3 linked regions of the Saccharomyces cerevisiae S288C genome follow. The gene in region 1 interacts genetically with each later gene. Each region holds a gene or a part of one and is shown in the gene's direction. Other genes may lie near its edges.

Region 1 (6,487 bases):
ATGCAATTGAACATTTTTTACACTTTGTATAATAGACTTCAAGACATGAAGATTCCATATTTTGATTTGAACAGTGACATTGTAGAGTCGTACATTGCCAAGAAAGGCAATGTGGAAGAACAAACGGACGCCTTGACTATTACACACTTTAAACTCGGTTACTCTAAGGCAAAATTGGAGATGACCAGAAGGAAGTATGGTGTAGCAACCGCCGAAGGCTCACCCGTCAGTGGCGCATCAAGCGGTGTCGGATATGGTGCTGGGTATGATCCAGCAACTGCCACTTCTCCAACCCCTACAGGATACGGTTATGGTGCCGCAGCACCAAGTTACGCCGCTCAACCTGCTGCCCAGTATGGTACTGCTGCCGCCGTTGGTACTGCTGCTGCTGTTGGTACTGCTGCTGGTGCTGCTGCTGGCGCTGTTCCGGGTACTTATCCACAGTATGCTGCTGCGCAATCTCCACCGCTCACTGGGCTAGGCTTCCAACAATCACCACAGCAGCAACAGGGACCACCACCGGCCTACTCTAATCCTCTAACATCACCTGTTGCGGGCACACCAGCCGCGGCCGTAGCGGCAGCTCCTGGCGTTGAAACTGTTACCGCATTGTATGACTACCAAGCTCAAGCTGCTGGTGATTTGTCTTTCCCTGCCGGCGCAGTTATAGAAATTGTCCAGCGTACTCCGGACGTGAACGAATGGTGGACAGGAAGATACAATGGCCAGCAAGGTGTGTTTCCTGGGAACTACGTGCAACTCAACAAGAACTAGAGGAGGCCCCTGCATCCCTCTGTATTCATTACCTTCTATTGTGAGATGTTACCATTACCTTTTTCTTTTATTGTAATGTTTCTTAATTTAAATACTATATAGGGTAATTCATCCTTCCACCAACAAAGTATCGTTTGAGTCTATCTATTACGGGCATGCGGCGAGCATATTACCCTACTGACAATATCCCAAAAGGGAAGGAGCGCGTTCCCAATAGGGCTGCCACCTTCCCAATATGGTACAAAGCCTACCATATGGGGAAATCAGTTTTCTCGCTCACCTCGCCTAGTCTTCCTAAAACGACGTTCCTCAGTCTCCTTTCTCTTTTATAAAACACCATCTCTGTCTTGTCGATGACACAGCCCAGTTGGGAAACCGGTGCTGACAAACAGGAAAAAAGCAAGACTAGTGGCCTGGCGCGGAAGAAACTGAGCTACATTGCACAACATCTTCAAGCAGGGTGTACGCATTCATTACTTTAATACTAAATTTAGAAGAAATCATCCTTTTTACTCGCGAAACTGTTAGGCTTGATCGGACGATCTCAGAAGAGGAAAAACAAATTGATAAAGTCTTCGTTAGGTTTCCTAGAATAGCAGGCCCGTTACAAAAAATTTTTTTACCCATTCCACTGGTTTTATTCACTAGTGACTTGAAAACTCCACATATTTTTGATCTCTTAAGCTTTCACGCATCACAAAGTTATCAGAACAAATTTTCTCCAGAAAGTTATATTGCAGTGTTCAAAAAGCCGTTCTCATTTCACAGCAATTTTTTTCTAAAGTAGAGGGGCAGAGAAATTAGCCTTCACAAGTTTGCTTTCGAGCTTCCAATTTGATTCCTGCTTTGGTCTTACTTTCATCCTCTCAATACCACTAAGATAAACTAAAAATATCTTTATAATGCCAAATAATACTCTTAAACAAGGCTCCAAAATTGAAAATGTTTCTCCCTCTAAAGGTCATGTCCCAAGTTTTTGGAAGCAGTTCATAAACAACCCTAAGAGTATGTCATCCGAAAATATTACAGTCCCTAGATCACCAACTTCTCTTTCAAGGAATGCTCAACCAACTACTTTAAAACGGCCTCCATTATCTTCAAGACCATATTCATATAATACCCCAACCAAAGATAGGAAATCCTTTTCCAAATCCGCGAAACAGAACAATAACAATAACAACGCTAATTCCGGAACATCGCCTCACGCAGAGTTCAAAAATTACAGAGATATGTTTTTATCTAATAGAAATGGTTTCACAGGTAGGGTTTTCGGTGTTACTTTAGCAGAATCGTTGAGCGTCGCCAGTGCAGAGGTCATTGTTCAAAGTGAGTTGGTGAGTTTTGGTCGGATACCCATCGTGGTAGCCAAGTGCGGCGCATACTTAAAAGCAAATGGATTGGAGACCTCGGGTATATTTCGTATAGCGGGCAATGGTAAAAGAGTAAAAGCCCTTCAATACATATTCTCGTCGCCACCTGATTATGGTACCAAATTCAACGATTGGGAAACATATACAGTGCACGATGTTGCATCGCTCCTGAGGAGATACCTTAATAATTTGGCCGAACCACTAATACCTTTATCCCTATATGAACAATTCAGAAACCCGCTACGATCTAGACCAAGAATCCTAAGGCATATGTTGACCCACGAAGTTTCTCATCCGAATGCGAATAAAACAAATAATGTAACAGTAAAATCAAGTAGACAGAACTATAATGATGATGGTGCTAATGATGGTGACATCGAAAAGGAGGACGCTAAAGATGATGAAGAAAAAAGACGAAGAAAAATACGTCATAAGAGAAGGCTGACCCGCGATATAAGGGCAGCTATCAAGGAATATGAAGAGCTCTTTGTTACCTTATCAAATGACACGAAACAGCTAACTATATACCTACTCGATTTACTGAGTCTTTTTGCAAGGCAATCACAGTTTAACCTAATGTCTGGTAGAAACTTGGCGGCCATCTTCCAACCTTCAATATTATCGCATCCTCAACATGATATGGACCCCAAAGAATACGAGTTATCCCGACTAGTAGTGGAATTTTTGATTGAATACTCGTACAAGCTATTACCCCATCTTTTGAAGTTGGCTAAAAGGGAACAACAGGAACGGTTGTCAACCGAAAATAAGAAAAATAATGGAGATAAACAGAAAACTGATCCTATAGAAATACCAAAGATCACCTCATCGGATTCGCCACCAATAGTTTCTTCCAATAAAAACCCACCGGCGATTGACAATAACAATAAACTAGACCATACGACGTTATCGCCAATATCTACTTCGATACCGGAGAACTCATCAGACCTACAGACTTCAAAAATGTTAAAGCCTCCGAAGCAAAGAAGACCACACTCAAAATCGTTTGGTTCTACTCCGGTTCCTCCGGATGTTATTGCTAGTAATAAAAGAAGAACGAGTTTATTCCCGTGGTTACATAAACCGGGAATTTTGAGTGACACAGGAGACAATGGCGACTTAACTGCTACTGAAGCTGAAGGTGATGATTATGAAGAAGAAAATGTTGATCCATACGGTCAGTCTCCATCTAGCGTACACTCAGGTTCTTTGCCCAAACAGCATTATCTGCCAATTCCTCGAATGAACAGATCGTTGAGTGGAAACAGTACCAATTCGTCCTTTAACACTAGACCTATTTCAATGATCCTGACCAGTGGTAATGATAATTCCGCTGATCAATTAGAATTACTAAGTAACACTCATAGCAATAATGAGCGCAGTAATGCTTTACCATTAACCGAAGATGATGGGGATGAAAGAAATTCAAGATCACGCAAGAGGGAATCATGGTTTCAAAGACTAACAAGCCGTTCAGGCTCTGCTAACAGGGCTTGATAACACCATTTTTCTTTCCTTTTAATTTCCTCATTTTTTTTTTTTTCGTTATTTCCCTTAAAAACCTGTTGGCGGTTTTCTTTCTTTTTCTTTGCCTTCTGTATAAATAACAAATAAACATCATTCCCCTTTCAAGATTTATAACCATAAAGGGAACATATATAACATAAATCATGAAGAGGACAAATTACGGACAATTATTCTGTAGCGATGCTAATCAGTATAAAATAAAAGAATAAAAATTCTTAAGTTGTTAATATGCCAGAGAAATGTTACAGCTTGTAACTCTTCAATAATGAATTTCTATGTTATATGACTGGCTGTTTCATATAAGCTATAACAGGGATCATGATCATTAAGCATTTTCTCTGCAACATTTATGTCGTACACTGCGAACCACGATTAAATAAATATATAGATACCTTTTCTTATTTATTAGTCTAATTCAACAATATCAGAATTAGTCGGTTCATTAACTAACTTTGTCCTTTTGTTACTGGGCGCCTCAGAAATCTCAGTATCAACTGGCCTCTTCTTTGAACCATTGATCGGTTCAGCATCGATGGTGATCTCACCTTCATCGTCGTCTAATATCACGATACCATCTTTCCCATGACTGTTCGTAGTTGCGACTACATCTGCACCCTTTTCATTTTTTTCTTCTTCTTCATTTTTTGAAGGACTATTGTTGGCCTTTATTAATGGGACTTCAACGTCCGGTAAGCTGCAAGTATTACATGGGAGTTCATCATCAACATCAAGAAATAATTCTATGGCTTTGCGGATCATTGTATCACCTTCTTCGTCGGAGAATAATATTATAGAACCATTTCCAAGATTAATCTCCGATAAAGTACGATCGTTCAAATCCTCGAAATCGTAATCAAATAGTAACCTTTGATTACTTGCGTCCAGGAGCGAAATATCCTGTGGATATGAGTACTTCTCGCGTATTAAAACTACAAAATCACTTAGTTTCATTTTGTTCAAACAATCGCTGGATAACTTAATAACACCTCTACAAACTTTAGAGCAAACTGGGCAATTTTTATTTGGAGGGGCTAGTTTCGGATTTGATAAATAACGATTTTGGGATAGATTGCTTGCCTTTGCTGTGAAAGCCATATTCAAATCAGTATACTTAGTAGTTGGGGCATATTTCAAAAGATTTAAAACGCGCAGTGAAATCAATGACGATGCACCGGCAACGATAGCATTCGTTGTTGCAATAGCCGGGATAATGTTACCAGCAATTTGCTTGATGTCAAATACGGACTTCATTGGAATATTGAATATGTGTGACCTTATGTTCGCAGCAGTTGCGACGAATTCCAAAGTATCAGCATCATCTTTATCAAATTCAATATGATTTTGCTCTTTGGGATAGCGATCCATTAATTTTTGTGTAATATTAATGAAATTACTAATTTGCTCCTGTATTGTGCCAACAGAATTAGAGGCAGACTGAGCTGTTTTAGTAGGAGTATTTATTTGAGAGTCTGATAATGGTACTGGCTTTGTTCTCGTTTTCCATAAATTTTCAATGGCTAGCAGTTTATTTATATCCTGAATGAATAATTTATTAAGAATCTCTGGAATACGGGATGCATCTCTTGATATGATAATTTTTTGCAATTCATACAATTCATTAGTTTCTTGTTTAATGCGCTTAATTTCTTCAGCATCATCTGTACCCCAATCCTGGTTGTTATCATCTTCATTTCCAGAGGTCTCTGACGCAAATAGCTGGTTAAATAGAAAGTTTTTCGCCCAAACAATGCAATGAATTGGCTGAGAAGGAGTGGACCTGATAGTACACACAGGAAAAGTCTTTGGTGTTTCCTTCTTTGTACATTCAAAACACTCAGTTTTCCCGGGGATAATAGGCTGCATGTATCCATCAAATCCAGCTGTTCCAGATTCTATTAAGGGCAGTGATAGAAACTGTGATATTTTATTGACATACCGTCTTGCGGCCAAGTTATCAAGAGCATTGAAGATAATGTCAAATTGCTCAAACCAATGCAGTGGGAAGGTAGAAATGTCCATAACATTTCCTTGGTAAGGCACTAACTTAGAGTTATTGAAATGCTGTACTGCTTTTACGGCTGTGGTAGACTTCGGTTGTTTAATATCTTTTTGTCTAAAAAGAAATTGCCTGTTTAAGTTCGAAAGGTCAATGGTGTCCAAATCGACAATATGTATTTCACCAAATTCCATCAAGATTATATCCTTTAACAATTCAGACCCTATGCCCCCAGCACCGACCAGAAGACATCTTGAGGACCGTAATTTCTTGTAACTATCTTCACCGATGATTGTTACCAAACTTGTTTCCCTTGGCATTTTCTTTTCTTGTTTGGCGTAGCGCTCCTGATCTTGTGTGTCTGTTGAAGTACGCAATTAGTGGATTGCTCATCCAAATATCTTGATTTAGCGTAAACATACTTCGCCTTTGAAAAACTTTAACTTGAAAATAGAGTATAAAAAAAAATTGCACAAAAAATGCGGAAGCCGGGAATCGAACCCGGGCCCCATGCTTGGGAAGCATGAATTCTAACCACTGAACCACTTTCGCTAAGAAGATCTAGCTTACATAGGTTTTGTGGTAATATAAATTCTTGAGACCGTAACCGCGCAAAGAAATACCTAAAATAGTAATTGCTAACTACATCTAAAAACAGACTGAAGCTCACTAGATATGAGACTTTTCTCACATCTTCAAAATAAAGAAAACAATAGCAGGCGAAATTTTTTTGAACCTGGTTATACAGTGCATGCTCCAAAATGTCGTCTTTAAACACTACTTTTTATTCTAAATAATTACTTGAAGGGGGGAAAGAAAA
Region 2 (4,370 bases), on another chromosome or scaffold:
CTGGGCTTCCTTTTCTTTCGATTTTCCAACTTTTGACTCATCAAAGAGCATAAAACTTCACAACTATCTAATATGTTATTGGCCCCGCACATAGCAAACCTGCTGGCGTGAAAAGTTTGATGGTTGAACCCTGTATCGCCTTTCAAGTGAGTGAGCCTTTGAATTTCATTATGGAAAAGTGCGGAGTAGCTACAATTCCAATCGATCATGCATCTCAATAATATTATTCTATCTAATGGTTCCATCGTCAACAAACCACCTCCATTAAAATTTAGAGTAGATAAAATATCACTATTACCACGCCATTCTTTTGGTAAGCCCCACTCCTGGATTAAGCTTCTGAGTTTGCCAACCAGTTTTCCATATGGATTTTTCAAACTAAGAAATCTTTTTAGCGTGAAATTTCTATGAGTTTGGTTGTCTGCTCTTTTCTCGGAGCAGAATAATAACCTCAAAAGACTGCAAAATAGTAGATTCATTTTATCCTGACAAATTCGAATATTCTTCGCAGAATGGCCAGCCACCTTTAATTCTAGTCCTATCTCCACATCTTGAAATGACAGGTTCAGTAGATCGTCGCTGAACACCCATTTAAATTTGACGATAAAAGAAAGGATCTTCATAACATCGCCTGCATATGGGAGAGGGGTGCAAAGGGGAGGCGCCCAATTGCTTTCCGTTACCGTCTCATCACTCATAAACTTTGCAAAGTCAGAATATCGTAAAGGAATATTTGGTGACCAGTTTAATGTATTCAATGGTCTATTATTAGAAGTAGTGTGTTCACTGATCGACTCTACCTTGTTAGTGTCGTTCGAATGTGTTTTGATATTAGAATATTTGCTTGCCATATTTGCCTCCATTTCTTTAGTTTTCATTTCTTCATCACAGGTACCTTCATATTTCTCCCGCTTTTTAGTATTTTGGGTAGCAGCATCCAGTGATTCGTCAATTGAACTATTGTGAGAAAGTACAACAGGTTCTTCTACAATTTTGATGTTTCTGAAATCATCAAAGGTCAACTGACCCCTTCTTTTTACCCTAGGCTTTGAAGACTGGTTTTTCTGTTGTTTGACCATAGGTTTCTTGATAAAGTCATCGACCAAGTCTAAATCAATAATTTCTGTCATTATTGTACCTCAAATTTCTTGTTCCTTATTTTCTTGTTTGATGTCTAAAAAAAAGAGATATCCTGGTAATGAGCAGGCCGTTTCTTCAGCTCATACAATCGAAAGCTTAAGAGTTAGTCGTTGATATGGTATTCTCTAATACCGAAAATAACTTAGTACATATAAACGCGTAAAGTTCACGCGTTTATATCACCCTACCATATGACATTCTAACCCTACTAATTTTTTATCAAAGCTAATAGGGTTGTATTTTATTATCTTTTACACCTACCTTTTTTTTTTGTATATGCCCTATAGATGAATTATAATTGTTGGACCGGTTTGTATTGGGCTTTTAAGGTGTAAAGTGAGTGCGTATAGATTATAGCAGAATAGACTATAAGTACGGCAAGACAGGAAAGTCTCCAATTGATGTACATTTTATCGCTTTGTGATCTAGGCAGTCGTTACAAACATGTTTAGAGATAGAACTAATTTATTTTTATCATACCGTAGGACTTTCCCTCATAACATAACTTTCTCATCTGGGAAAGCACCCTTGGGCGATGATCAAGATATTGAAATGGGTACATACCCGATGATGAATATGTCTCACGATATATCGGCCAGATTGACAGATGAACGAAAAAACAAGCATGAGAATCACAGTGATGCGTTACCACCCATATTTATTGATATAGCGCAGGATGTTGATGATTATCTTCTGGAGGTGAGACGGTTAAGTGAGCAGTTGGCGAAGGTTTATAGGAAGAATTCGTTACCTGGCTTTGAAGACAAGAGTCATGATGAGGCGCTGATTGAAGATCTAAGTTTCAAAGTAATTCAGATGCTGCAGAAATGTTACGCTGTTATGAAACGATTAAAGACCATATACAACTCTCAATTTGTGGATGGTAAGCAATTAAGTCGAGAAGAGCTGATTATACTAGATAATCTACAGAAGATCTATGCAGAAAAGATACAAACTGAAAGTAATAAGTTCAGAGTATTACAAAATAATTACTTGAAATTCTTGAACAAGGATGATTTGAAACCTATCCGCAATAAGGCCAGTGCAGAGAACACGCTATTATTAGATGATGAGGAAGAGGAGGCAGCAAGAGAGAAGAGAGAGGGCCTCGATATTGAAGACTATTCAAAAAGGACGTTGCAGAGACAGCAACAGCTTCATGACACTTCTGCAGAAGCATATTTGAGAGAACGTGACGAAGAAATTACTCAGTTGGCAAGGGGTGTATTAGAAGTGAGCACTATTTTCAGGGAAATGCAAGATTTGGTTGTTGACCAGGGGACTATTGTGGACAGGATTGATTATAATCTGGAAAATACAGTGGTAGAGCTAAAAAGTGCAGATAAAGAGTTGAATAAAGCAACACACTACCAGAAGAGAACTCAAAAATGTAAAGTCATTTTATTACTAACATTGTGCGTAATAGCGCTCTTTTTCTTTGTTATGTTGAAACCACATGGCGGTGGCAGTGGTGGTCGTAATAATGGTAGCAACAAGTACAACAATGATGATAATAAAACAGTTAATAACAGTCATGATGACGGCAGTAATACCCATATTAATGACGAAGAGAGCAACTTGCCGAGTATCGTTGAAGTAACAGAATCTGAGAATGATGCTTTGGATGACCTACTTTGATGACAAAACTTTCACGGTACCGCATCGCGATTTTGAACTATAATATGCTTTGAAGAAAATTGAGAGATTTAGTCAGCGTTCATATGACCTGTTGCTCGTTCTATTTGAGAAAAGTGAAAAGGTTAATATATGATTTCAATAAAGTATGTAGTATGATAATAAAATACAAATTTATATGGGATAAAATTGAACCGCAAGTAAAGACTGGCGAACGAATATTGTGCATAAGTAGTTCCTGAAGATGATAAAATATGGTTTAATACAAGTTGGTGGTTATTGTGATTTGTAGAATATAAAAAAAAAAAAAGAACCTTCATTTTTCTTTTTTTACCTAAATCCGTAAGGATTGTTCAGTGAAGTAGTAGCTCGGGGCAAGTTTTTGTTTTGCATTCTCCTCTTATAGGCAGGCTTATATCCTTGTGTTATCGGGCTTTGGTTTGGTAAAGGATTCGGAGCAAAACCGACGCCTGGTACCGGATTTCTGTGCTGTGGCACTTGGTTTGGGGCAACGTTGAAATAAGGATTGCTTTGTAAAATAACATTAGAAGGATCTGGACCAGCAGGAGTAGTTCTTTGATATAAATTGTATTGATGATATTGCTGCTGTGGTTGCTGTTGTTGTGGTTGTAGTCGTTGTTGGGGATACACTAATGGCGCCGGGTGTGGCTGACCAGCGTACGGCCTTATATTTGCAGGACCAGCGGCTGTTTCTCGAGGCATTTGATTGTATACTTCCGGATTGACACCTCTCTGTGATATTGAAGTCAACGTTGAATCTTTATCGTTGTAGGAGGACATGCTGTTGATGTGGCTATCGTTTGGTTCATTGAAGGAGGTCTCCATGATGTCGTTTAGTAGTCTCGAAGGATTTCTGTGCGGTATGACCTCTCTTTGAGAGTAGTCTGAGGACGCTAATGATGCACTGGATGATATTTCCGTTTTTCCTAGCGGAACTTTATAGTTTATATTGTTGCTGGTGTTACTACCATTGTTTCTCACATAATTATTAGAAACACTCCCATTTTTCAAGCCACTTTCACTTTCAATGACAGAATACGTTGAAGTTGACCTCCTTTTGTCATAGGCCATGCCATCGTCCTCTTCTTCATTAAGTCCGGAACCATTTGAATTTTCCATGTCCTTTGCTTCTTTATCGAAAGTAGAAATATCAGACGTGGTAGAAGTGGTTATGTTTGATAATTTCGGATCTTGATTGTGTGAAATAATATCTGGGACAACAGTGATATTAGTACCGTTCTTAAAATTGTCACCCAATAAATTCGTTCTTGAATCACCACGGAGGTTGGCCTCACTATCAGCGTCGATATCGAATCTCCCGGACTTCGAACTTAGATATGGGTCATTCAGCAGCATGCCCTTTTCTTCCAGTTCCTCGGTTTCGTCATCATCCCTTGAGCCTGAGCTTCTTGAATAAGCTGAGAATATCAAAGGAATTACTAGTAGAGATAAAGCAGCTCCTGGTATCAGGACCCATGAACACCAGGTTACATGTGGGTAAAACAGTAAAAATACCACGATACATATCAAAGAAGCAGAAAGAAAGCCTAGAGTGGAAAATGTCAAATTAACAA
Region 3 (4,453 bases), on another chromosome or scaffold:
AGTAATGCCAGCCAGCGGCACGGAACGTACATAAGAGGATATTTTTGTTCAATTGCTGCTGGGTTATTTCATTTTCGTGCGATTGGGAGGAGTTCTCGACATATTTGAAGCCTAATGCAAGCGGATGTCTTCTGCAATGATACATAATTTGCCAAAGAACATTACTCATGGGAATGGTAAACACCAGGAGCCAGAGGCAAAGAGATAAGACGGCAAGGATGGGTTGCAAGACGAGATGGAAGATTGTATAGAAAAGAACACGACCCCAGCTCCATTTTCCTCTCCCAAAGTACCGTCTTTGAGCCGCTGCGTGCGGAATTTCGTGTCTAATAGAATTATATGATGGATGGTTCGAGTTAAGCGGTGTTGCTGTTGTGTTAGCGGGCGGCATCAAAGACGAAGATTCCGTTGCAGGGGCCGGATGGTCCTCTCTTTGCTGAAACTTGGCCTGAGACTGGTGGAAGACCAGCCTGTTGGAGTATGAAGTCACCCAATTGTAGAATTGCTGCATACTAATACCTTCATCCTTATCTTCTTGTAAATATTGCTCGTCCTGCAACAAGTATACCATTTTGCCAAAAGGCCAAAGGAAATAATTGGCGAGTTTATACAGACACTTGGAGTACTCCTTCGCAGAGTTCGTTACCAGTCCTCCGCCGCCTAGTAAAAATACCACAATAGCCGCCGAGTAGAAGAGTATCGCAATGGGGAAACCGAACAAAATAAACCATAGCACATTGGAACAAGTCACCTCCCAGGTAATAGTCTTCAACTGAGTCTCGTGAATGTCTTGCGCCGCGGTTCTTTGAACTGAACGGTGTTTCTTATATAAAGCAGGCTTCCATATCCTGATACCGAAGGGGTGGGTCTCGTTGATGGCGTCCTGTCTTTCTCGTAAAGTGAATGACTCTGTGGACGAAGCATTAGACGCCTGGTCATTGTTTTCCAAGTGTGAAGGCGACTGGCAATTGATCTCGTCTATAAGTAAATCATGGCCGTGCGAGTCGTGTATAATGAACCGACTGTCATCATTGGCGTCCTCGTCATCATTGTCATCATGAGGTAATTCCCGGATAGATGAATGCATTCGTTTCGGAGAGCTGGGAGTAGCTGTATTTAAGTCTGGCACAGAGTGCGACTTGGAGGATAGCGACTCTAGTGTGGGCGGCAAGTGTTGTTGGTGCTCGTGGTGGTGCAGCGTGTTGTTGCTGCTATGTACGATTGGTGATTGCGAGCTTACAGATCGCTTGGATTTATTGGCATGCAGGGCGAACTTCAACCCTTCATGCAGACCCTCAAGATACCTGATATCGTTTTGGATCTCCTTTGGATCATCGTCCACGCTAAATATTCTATGAGGAGTCGAGGCAGATGTAGTTGGGGTCAGAACCTCCTCTTTAAGACGATGGTCTCCAGAGGTACTGTTACCACTGGCAGAAATGTGGTTATTTTTGGCCATTGCTGCTTACCGCTCTTCTAGCTAGCAGTTATTTCACTTTCATTTACAGCATCCCTCATGTTTATTATCTTCTTTATCTAATATAAATTAGGAACTAAATAATCCCCTCACCGTATAAAGCGACAGTTCCGTGACGGTTACTATTATGAATATCTCAACGGAAAGAGGGCATTAAAAGATCATAATAGTTGGTACTCTCGTATTTTATATATATATATCACTATATTTTAACACTTTTACTGCTCAATTGTGCCATATACTTCGCCTTATTGCGTACATTCTTCACCTTGTATCCCCCTACCTCAGCGTGTATGGTGATATCGCGTTTTTTCATAAACTGAGAATGGGGCTTTTTCTATAACGTGTATTATGAAAAAAAGAAAATAAAAATCAAGAATTAAGCACTTGTATATGCTACAGTAAAGACCTCTTCAACTTCTGCAAGACAATCAAAAAAAAAATGATGCGTCGCACGCTATTACATTCATTCGCTACGCTGCTACTTTCTTTGTCGTTGTGGTCAGCTGCGGTCATGGCAGCTGTGACAACTCAGGTTACAGTGGTAACAAATGTCGCAGGGGCCCTGGTTACGGAGACCACAATATGGGACCCTGCCACCGCTGCTGCTGCTGCTACAACTACCGCTCAAACAGGTTTCTTCACTACGGTATTCACTACCACTAACGATGTCGGAACCACCGTCACTCTTACTCAGACAGTCAACAGAGCCACTATGCTACCAACCACGACGACTTCTACCTCATCTACTGGTAAGACAACCACCACTGTTCCTACCGCAACTTCATCGTTGTCTTCGGGACTGTATTTATCTACAGTTACCACGACAAACGATTTGGGTACCACAGTTACATTGACTCAAACGTTCACACATTCTAGCACCAGTGCTACTTCATCCGCCTCCTCGTCTGTGTCCTCGTCTGTATCTTCGTCTGGTTCATCCTCCAGTGTAAAGACGACCACATCGACAGGGAGCGCAGTAGCTGAAACAGGCACCAGGCCAGACCCCTCCACAGACTTCACAGAACCTCCTGTGTCTGCTGTCACTAGTCTATCTATTGACTCATACATTACCATCACTGAAGGTACAACCTCCACTTACACAACCACACGTGCGCCAACGTCCATGTGGGTCACTGTTGTTAGACAGGGCAACACTATCACTGTGCAAACTACTTTTGTCCAGCGTTTCTCCTCCCAGTACGTAACAGTCGCTTCTCCCTCCGTGGGGTCTATTGGGATGGGTACTTTAACCGGTACTGTAGGCGTTATTAAATCTGCAATAAAGAAAACAGTTTCGCATAATGAGGCCCAGCATCTAGGTATGAGTTCGTTTACTTCAATTTTGGGTGGGCTATTAACGGTTTTAATTTGGTTCTTATAAATTTTTATTCAGAAATAAACACAAACATATACATATATAAGAGTAAAAATAAAAAAATAAAAAAATTTTACAGGGTTAAAAATAAAGAAAACCATCACTCCTTTTCTATTTCATATTCCATGACAAACTTGATGCATCAGCAATCTTTCTACCGCCGAAGAGCCAAAACGTTAATAATATCAATGCCATGGCAGCACAAATACAGCCTCCAATCAGGTAAACTATACCTAAAAATGGATTTCTACCGCCAAGGTGAGAACCGTGAGTCAAGTAGATTCCCTTCTTACCATTAAACTCCAATACTGGCCAATGCAGACCGATATCCAACTGGTATTCACCCGCTGGCAAAGTATCGTTTTTATTGATTCTGATCAGTTTTGTAATTTTATCAAAAGCACCTGGCCTCATCCAGTTTTGGAACTCTTCCCAATCCTGAATATCAGGAATATTCGTCTCGTTGTATCCATCTGGATACATCTTTTCCCAATATGGTGGAGGTGCTATCTGTGTATAATTGTATTTGGTTTTTTTGTACCTTTTTTTATCAGATTCCCAATTGATTCCTTTATTTGTCAATGAATAGTTGTTAGACGTATCCCCTACATTTGTTAACTGCAGGGGGAACGTGTCGTTGAACATTGAGTTCGCAATTAGGCCACATGGATAGTATATTTTACCATCGGCGTTCTTAGATAGTGGCTTACAATTTATACCGGTTGCATCATGCACCGTCTCATAAGAGGCGTCCTCCCCACGTATCTGATCTTCGCTAAAAGATAGTACATATCTTCTGTGATTGGCAGCAAATTTTTCCAGCACATAATTCAAATATACGTTATTTTTCATATCACTTGGAGTAGTGAACCTGATTTGGCATGTACCTCTTTGTTTTGTGAAGTCATCTGATTCATCATCCACAAACCTCCATTGTGGTGCAGTATTATATGTTTTATATTTGTGAAATACAAATTGCCAATGTTCAGAAGGGATGTCGCTCCATGATGAGGTTGCGTTAGTCATACAGTCCTGGTAATATATGGTTACTTCATCCACTTTGGAGTTCTGTGCTAATATGCACCCTCCTACAATAACAAATACAACAGCAATTAACAGATAAAGAGGCAAAACTGTCCTCGGCGTTAACACCGGGTTTATAGCCGCTAATCTTTGTTGAGTGAATGCATCCTCTTTGGGTCTTCTGTTCTTTGTACGCACAGGCTTTACTTCATCCTCTTCAAACTCAGAAGCATCGACGTCTTCTTCTTCTTCTGGGTTGTCTCCGGACACTATAGCTCCTTTGTCCTTTCTACGGAATACTTCACCAACTTGGCCCAAATCGAAATTTACCATTCTTCAATATTTTACCACCCTCTCGTATTTCTAAAAGGACACTTAATTGTTTTCTGGTCTGTACTGATGATTTAATTTGATCTATTTATTTTATCATCATACAAGATTCCTTTTCTTTAATTTCGCGCATAATAATAATCGTTGGAAAATCAACTGTCAAAAGCCACCAGAACGGCAGACAAAGTTGACACTACAACATTGGACACATACTACCAGAACGCTCATTTGCATTTTGCCACACT

Evidence for each region. Genes that interact genetically often act in the same process or in processes that back each other up.
Region 2: mutations in SAC7 (region 1) and TLG2 together harm fitness more than expected from each alone (negative genetic interaction), as found in Saccharomyces cerevisiae (5 studies listed by BioGRID, with this or other methods).
Region 3: mutations in SAC7 (region 1) and KRE1 together harm fitness more than expected from each alone (negative genetic interaction), as found in Saccharomyces cerevisiae (5 studies listed by BioGRID, with this or other methods).

The regions. Positions count from the first base shown.
Region 1 is NC_001136.10:1,250,861-1,257,347, forward strand, and holds SAC7 (GTPase-activating protein SAC7), read left to right. Parts: upstream 1-1,676; coding exon 1,677-3,641; downstream 3,642-6,487. Other genes in the region: RVS167 (amphiphysin), read left to right, coding at 1-774; E1 ubiquitin-activating protein UBA2, read right to left, coding at 4,077-5,987.
Region 2 is NC_001147.6:289,289-293,658, reverse strand, and holds TLG2 (t-SNARE syntaxin TLG2), read left to right. Parts: upstream 1-1,584; coding exon 1,585-2,778; downstream 2,779-4,370. Other genes in the region: ESC8 (Esc8p), read right to left, coding at 1-1,130; TOS7 (Tos7p), read right to left, coding at 3,106-4,370. UniProt on the Saccharomyces cerevisiae protein: t-SNARE that functions in transport from the endosome to the late Golgi and on the endocytic pathway.
Region 3 is NC_001146.8:31,702-36,154, reverse strand, and holds KRE1 (Kre1p), read left to right. Parts: upstream 1-1,919; coding exon 1,920-2,861; downstream 2,862-4,453. Other genes in the region: VNX1 (calcium/hydrogen antiporter), read right to left, coding at 1-1,459; LEM3 (Lem3p), read right to left, coding at 2,967-4,211. UniProt on the Saccharomyces cerevisiae protein: Involved in a late stage of cell wall 1,6-beta-glucan synthesis and assembly.